Arabidopsis thaliana: one gene and its partner. The protein of the gene in region 1 interacts with the protein of each later gene in a pairwise test. Each region holds a gene or a part of one and is shown on either strand. Other genes may lie near its edges.

Region 1 (3,320 bases):
ACATAGGTTTGTAAAGGTTTTGTAAAGGTTGTGCATTAATATGTTCCACTTTGTCAGTTTGGTCTACTAATCAAGCTGACTCTAATTATGACTTTATAGCTGGTGACTACAACTAGATGGGTCATTTCTATTAATTATTTGTTAGTTTAGGGGTATTCATTACAGATTCTTTTGAGATGATATGGACTAGTTTCTTCTTACTTTGATGAAATAGTGACCATTTGCCCATGTTAGGATGTTTAGTCTACTTTTTTTCCACCCAATTGTGTGAAAGACTCATTAGCCTTTCTTTCGCATGAGAAGTACAGTGATCATTTGTTACCGAAAGCCTGACCTGTTTTGTTTTGAATGAAAATGATAAAACAGGCCCTTAAAGAGCTTAGAGCCAAGGCATCGCAGAAGGGATCCTTTGGAGGTTCTGGACTTAAGAAGAGTGGCAAGAAATGATCCGTTTTATCCATGAAGTGTGTTTTAAAATGCAAATTTATCAAGTGAAAAAAACAGATAATCCTGTGTTGATGTAACTTTTTATCATAATTCGAGAAGAGTAACTTCGCTTCTCCATACATATGTTTGCTTTCTCCATTTTTTCATGAAAAAGAAAAGTGGTATCTACCCTAAAATCATTTTGTCAAGAATCGAGTAGTAGGGTGTCACATCTCTATCTTCAGATATAGTATTATAAACTGTAAGTTGTCATAACTTGAAGTGGAAAATATGTTGCATTGATAGTAGTTGAGAATAGGAGCGTAACTTGACTCTACAAGATGAGGTAGAAACTGAGGGTGGTGACAGGTGATTTTACCAAAGCGGTGTGTGTAATGGTTAACACTGTTCTTAAGAAGTGCATACTCTATAGATGAAAGAACTACAGATAGCCCGTGAAAGCAAAGCTGATCCAGAGGAACTTTAAAGCCTGAAGGAGCCTGCCTTTCTCCTTGAACCGTTGATCTTAGCAGAGGTACGAGGATCAGAGAACTCGTAATACATGTCTGTGAAGAAATTGTCAACAATGTCAAGATACACAGGACTTCTGATGCTTGAATAGCATCGAAGCGCTTCCCTTACATCCAATGCGTGATCCACGTCTCTCAGATCCACCATATTGAGATCTTTCATCTTTTGCGCCAACGCGTCACCTCTTTTCTTTGCATCCTCGAATGGCTCAGCGACTTTCTTCGGTTTCTTTTTATGTTGGTTGTTGAGACTCTTCTGGTGTGTTGTATCTGCCACAGCCGTGTCACAACAGATAACGGTGTAGCTTTCTTTGGTTTGGGTTTGGGAATCTTCTGGACAGCGGCGGCTGCAGGAGTAAGGGCTCAAGAGAGGAGTGTCGTTAGGTAAGTTTTTGTAATCACTAGAGCAGATAGTGGACTTGATGCTCCCAAGAGTCTTCTTTAAGAAACGACCAACTCTCTGAATTGATTTTGATGTAGGTTTCATCATCTTTCTTGCTGCTCATTTTTTTGAGAAGATAACCATATTTATGTCACTAGGGATCTCAAAAGGAAACCTAACATTGATTTAGTGGCATGTAGTAGTTGAAGAAGCAAGCTGATAGTGTCAGACTTTAAGAAGGTGTCATCTTGTTGATTGTGTTGTCCACTTTTATAGGTAAGCAATCGTCATCACATTGATAAGCAGTGTTCAAAATTGGTCCCCTACTTATCATTGCCACCACCACTCACTACTCATATTATATATACTGTATGCCAGTTGACTCGAGGTAATATCAGAACCAGGCCCATGAAGCCCATTAAGAAGCCCATATTTTTGGCGGTAACCAATGAAGATCCATTTTGGGTAGGAAAAACCCTAAAGGACGCTACACAGTCGTCTTCTCGGAGCCGCAAAGATTTCTGTAGAGCAAACTTTGATCATCCCCTGCATCTGCGGCAATGGTAATCTATTGGCATTTTTTTTCCATGTAAGCTCATGTGTGACTTATGTGTAACCGGTGCTTTGGAAATGACAGGGTAAAGGAACAGGGAGCTTTGGTAAGAGGAGGAACAAGTCACACACGCTCTGTGTGAGATGTGGTCGCCGGAGCTTTCACATCCAGAAGAGTCGTTGCTCGGCATGTGCTTATCCAGCTGCCAGAAAGAGGACATGTATGTACTCTCTCTCTATTTCTGTCTCTGTCTTGGAATTTTGGGTCTGATCATGGAGAATTGGAGATATATGAAAGAGTCCTGGAATTTATGATTTTGTGTGCAGATAACTGGAGTGTGAAGGCAATAAGAAGAAAGACAACAGGAACTGGTAGGATGAGGTATCTCCGTAATGTCCCTCGAAGGTTCAAGACTTGCTTTAGAGAAGGTAAAGCTACATTGCACCCTTTGCTTCACTTAAATATTTGATATAATCTAAGACTTGCTCAATCTGATCGATGGAATTCTGTGAATCAGGTACGCAAGCCACCCCAAGAAACAAAGCTGCAGCTTCGTCTTCCTAGGCATTGTTCAGTTTGCGTTTTGCCATCTCTTTCTTGCTATGTAGCTTTTTTTTTTAATTCGTTTGTTTATCTTTTTTGCTCTTGTACTTCCTTTACTGTGCAATCCTATTTCTGATAGTGTGATCACTCATCAATGAAATGCATCCGTGCTATTACTGTTTAAAGAATTCTAGCAAAACTCCACGTAATATGGAAGATGATTACAATGAAAATCCAAGTATCAGTTCGGTGGTGTATATTGACCAAAGAGGTGTTTTTCGTAGTGCAATTTTTTGAAAGCTTGCTCCATTTCCGGAAACGCTGATAGTAGCAACAACTCCAAAATGTCAAACGCCAATTGCTTCAAACACACTGATGACTGAAACAAGAATAATTTTAACAATGAAATCATCAAATGCATGTAAGCATCGCACAAACCTGAAATCAAGTGGAATGTTTACCTGAAGGAAAAAGTAAAGATCTTCTGCACATTGTTCATACTCCTTTTGTCCTATAAGACTCACTATAGTAGCTGGGGCTTTTTCTGTGAGTTGAGGGTTTATTTCAAACATTTATGTTAGTTCAATTAAGCTTCGCAATCATTGATGCAAAAAAAAAAAATCAGATAACAGGACGCTCATTACCGATCATCAGCTCATGAACAAACTTTGCTCGTCTCTCTGCTTCTTGTTTCTGCTCCTCTTCAGAAATGCTGGATTGTTGCTGCCTTTTTGGATGCTTTGTCATGAATACACCATCCGGCCATAGTATCTGAGAGGTCATACCAAAGAGCTCTTTCAAATCTCACCACGGATTGAAATATAACAAGACCAAAGACATCACAGAGATATATCCCTGTTAGGCATACTTTTTCCATTATTCACTG
Region 2 (4,554 bases), on another chromosome or scaffold:
GGTCTCGATTTGGCTCGTCTTGAAACTTCAGTTTTTCTTCACCATCTTGTCACTCGCTTCAGGTAACTATCAGTTACATGGATACAAAATTATTTAATATTTGTTGTAATCTTTAAATTTCAAAACAAACAAGAGGGTGTGGTAATTAGTGCTCTACACTTTAGACAAAATGGTACGTTCGGACCAAATAAATCTAAATGTCTAATCTCTTTTTGACAAGTTGGACTTAACTCTTAAACGATATACAGAGACTTATTTGAAAATATGTTGGTGATTATGATATGCAGATGGATAGCAGAAGAAGACACAATCATAAACTTCCCAACGGTGCATATGAAGAACAAATTACCCATTTGGATCAAAAGAATATAAATCATTTTTCTTAAGTGAAAAATGGAGAATCAGTTTTGCATTATCAAACTCTAAAAGGTTAAAGAAGTCACACGAGTGTTTTGTAAGTGGGAAGTGAAAAAGATAGTGAGACAGCAAAAGGTAAGAAAAAAAGAGAACATGATGGAGTTTGGAGACAAAAAATGATTCACACGTGTGGAAGACGATAGCACACATGCCAACTATTTTGTCGTATTCCTTCACAAGGCAAATAAGGACAGAATCACAAAACCTTTTTGTTGACCGTATATATATATATATATATATATTTTTTTTTTGAAGTACAAAGGTGTATGATAATTATGCATATGATATAGAATCCTAATTTTCATGACTATTTCCTCTCTCTCTTTTTTTTTTTTAAATGTTAAGGACGACTATTCCTCTTCGTATATTAAATTATTAACTAAGAAAATCATTACAGAAAAGTTATAATTCTGGTTCAATCATTTATATATTTCCAAAAGAATGGTCTAATAAAGATATTATGATAGTCTACATCTATTTCAAGCAATTTTACAGTTTTTTTGCTAAATATGTTAATATCATTAATAATGAAGTTGTGGCGTTACAAAGAAAACCAGTACAAAAGCAACTTTGGCAAAAAAAGTAAAAACAAAGCTACAATAGATTTAGGAAATTTTTGAAGACATTAACGGATCCAGAGAAGCATTAGCTTACGCCAACGCTTCCTAAGCAATTTTACAGTTACTAGTTATTTTTTTAATTTTTAACTGGGTGATGGTTTTCTCTTTTCTGAATAGTCTCTAATAGTTTTAGATGTAATAATGAATGATTAAGCAAAGTCATATTATTTCTCCTCCACTTATATGATATGATGTAATTAACATAACAACCCACTGAAATTGATTTAAACAACGTGACAAGACAAGAAAGTTGTGTTGTTTCAACTGAACATCACTAACAACCAGATCTAACCACTAATTGTACTATATTACATTTTTCTCACTATTGTAACTACGAGTTGTTTATGTTAACACAATAGCCTTTAGAATTGATTTGGATAAGAGGGCTTCACTTTTAAGAGATCCATCCGTTAAGCCTGTTAAAGGCCCAAAAGTTGCATAATAGAAAAGCCTATATATTGGCAAAGACGGGCAACTGTTTAGGCAAATAGGTATTTCTTATGTTATCGCCGCCGTTGAGCCTTTTCTTGTTTTTATTCCCTATTTTGAGTTTTTCAAGACCTTGATTTTCATTTATTGTTAGTTATTTCTCGTTTGGCTGATGATAAGTCCAGCCCGAAATTCCGTTGTTATAGCTTTTTTTTGGTGAAGTTTGCATGGCCATGGAGAACACTAACTTTTTTTTTCATGTAAGTAGACAATTTCAGAGATACTAATCCAAGAGATGGCGGATACGTTTTACAATCACGAATCTTGTATGATCACTAACCATTGGAACAATAAGAGTATATAATGAGTATATCACCATTTAGTTCTAGTGGGTGGTGATCATATAAGATTGGTAATGGTAACAGTGAAACATATCCCCCATCTATTGGGATTAATTAGTCTCCCTGAACAGTCGTGAGAGAACCTTTGTTTGCTGCGGCAGACACTAGAGACTGTTGGAAGACCTTGAGATATACAAAAATGTAGAATTATTTTGAAAATAGGTGATGTGGATCTGGTACTACTTGATTTACATATATGTATTTGCTTCTCTGCTTACTTGTAACGAAAGCTACATTATATAATATACCTTTGATTTAAGCAATCTTGTTGAATAGGTTTCTCTGGTTCTTATGGAGAAAAACTTAAGATTTTTGTAATCCATCATACATTTTGGTATAGTTTTGATCTTATATGTATTGTGCTTTGACACAAGCTAACTATTTTCTTGTTTCACAGAGCGGGATCAATTCTAAAGCAGCCATGAGTCTGGCTCGCTAAAGAAGCCTATCGATGTGGATCGTCCAATGGAGAGAGAGCATGTGACATGAAACCTTCGTTGTATTGGGCCAATATCTTTTGTAATTGGGCTGACTAAAAATCATGATAAAGTCCGAGGGAGACTATAAATAATTTACTCATTGTTCCTGCCGACATTACACGTGGCGAAAGAGTAGTTATATGCCAGAGAGACTCCTCTAAAATGGGGTCACGTGTAGCCTGTATCGACTATTCAATAATGCCACTCTCGCTCGGTGACACCGTGTCTCTTACTTTATCATTAGTCTTTCAAATTAACTATATAGTCCTTCAACATGTAGTAATTCATCTACTTATAAATTGCTGTTACCCAAATCTCGAGTATCTAAAACTTATACTTTTCAGACATTGACCAAGTAGTGAATCAAATCCTCACGTTACACTATATTGTAATCTTTTTAAAACACGATCTAATTAAATTTTGTTTTATTTCATAAACATAGATTAGTTTAGAAAACGCCATATGCAAATGTGTATCACCTAATTCTTGGGACCTTTCAGAATTCATATATACACATAACAAACAGTCTTTTCATTTACTTTCTCTATTCAATCTCACACGCGCTAAACCATAACCCGATATTACTAATGACGAACTACGGTGCGATTCCGACGTCGTCTCATGCATCTCCGTTGGTGGATGTCGAGTCTCTCTCACGCGCTAAACACCGTATCAAAGCCGGGCTAGCCACGCGCCGTGCTTGGAGAGTGATGTTCGATTTCCACTCCATGGGACTGCCTCACGGTGTCTCCGATGCGTTCACAAGAATCAAGACCAATCTTGCTTACTTCCGTATGAACTACGCAATCGTTGTCTTGATCGTTATCTTCTTCAGCTTGATCTGGCATCCGACATCGCTCATCGTCTTCACCGTCTTGGTCGTTGTTTGGATCTTTCTGTATTTTCTCCGTGATGAGCCTATCAAGCTGTTCCGGTTTCAGATCGATGATCGGACGGTCTTGATTGTTTTATCGGTGTTAACCGTCGTTTTACTCCTGTTGACCAACGCGACGTTTAATATTGTTGGAGCGCTTGTGACCGGAGCTGTGTTGGTTTTGATCCATTCGGTGGTTAGGAAGACGGAGGATCTTTTCTTGGATGAAGAAGCGGCGACGACTGAGACTTCTGGGCTGACGTCATACCCGTCGACTTAAATCGTTTCATCTCGAAATTTGTGTATCTTTTCTATTTTTGTATATTATCTTGTTTTTTTAATTATGCGTAATCAATTTTTATTGGTGTGAGTTTGGTTTGAGACTTTCTCTCTCTCTTTTGTTTTCTGAGTTTTGAGCTCTGTCTGAAGTTTGAACAATTCTAATTTGTTATAATTTTTATTACTCCCTCTGTCCATAAAAGATAAATTTTTTAGGAAAAATATTTGTCTTACAAAGATAGAAATTTTATATTTGCAATGCAAATTTTAAAATTGTTTTCCCGTTTTACCCTTACTAAATAATTAGATAAATATTTATTATTATTTTTAAAATATATTAAGAGGTTAAAATTATGTTTATACAATATTTCTTAAAAAATGTGCAATTTCTAAAAAATTCATCTTAGTGGGACGGAGGGAGTATTTTATATTCGCAAAACTCAGGAATAATTTCTTGGAATGATTTATTAATCTGAAATATTTAAAATGATTTAATCTGAAATACATAATAAATAATCAAATTAATAAGTCAAACATTATAAATTCAAAATGGGTTGTAATGAATATTCCCTTTTTGCATTCCGTAACAAAAAAATAATCAATTTTTGTTGTAAAGTTTATTCAGGTTGGTTCACCTTCAAAGTAGGAAAAAAAGTTTGGTCTTGATTTAAGTTCTTTTTTCATTTGGGTCACACAAATGAGCAATTTGAAGCAAAAATCCTTGATATATATGCAGGCCTTATTCAAATTTCCAATGTAAAGATTTGAAGCAAAAATCCTTATATATAATTAGGTCTTTCAAAAGGCACAAATATTCTAGCCCATGTAATTCTAAACGGACGCCATTAGATATGTAAGAGCATCTTCATCAGTAGTCTTTCAATGAGATACCCAATAAAAAAAATATAATAAAAAAGGAAAAAGTAAGAGAGAAGGAAGAAAAAGTAGGAGAGAAGGAGAATTAAGTTTCTTGGAGGAGAAACTTTGAGAAACTATTCTCATTCAATTTGGACAGCTGTTATCCTATTATTAGTTTAACTATTAAATAACAATTA

What was found.
Region 2: the proteins of AT1G15260 (region 1) and PRA8 interact in a two-hybrid assay, tested with the Arabidopsis thaliana proteins (one large-scale study listed by BioGRID).

Annotation. Positions count from the first base shown.
Region 1 is NC_003070.9:5,247,960-5,251,279, reverse strand, and holds AT1G15260 (LOW protein: ATP-dependent RNA helicase-like protein), read right to left. Parts: upstream 1,521-3,320; 5' UTR 1,447-1,520; coding exon 910-1,446; 3' UTR 707-909; downstream 1-706. Other genes in the region: AT1G15270 (Translation machinery associated TMA7), read left to right, coding at 367-447; AT1G15250 (Zinc-binding ribosomal protein family protein), read left to right, coding at 1,899-1,901, 1,976-2,111, 2,218-2,319, 2,409-2,455; AT1G15240 (phox (PX) domain-containing protein), read right to left, coding at 2,676-2,813, 2,896-2,978, 3,079-3,205.
Region 2 is NC_003074.8:4,494,148-4,498,701, reverse strand, and holds PRA8 (PRA1 (Prenylated rab acceptor) family protein), read left to right. Parts: upstream 1-1,901; 5' UTR 1,902-2,933; coding exon 2,934-3,500; 3' UTR 3,501-3,723; downstream 3,724-4,554. Other genes in the region: CYP90D1 (cytochrome P450, family 90, subfamily D, polypeptide 1), read left to right, coding at 1-62, 288-372. UniProt on the Arabidopsis thaliana protein: May be involved in both secretory and endocytic intracellular trafficking in the endosomal/prevacuolar compartments.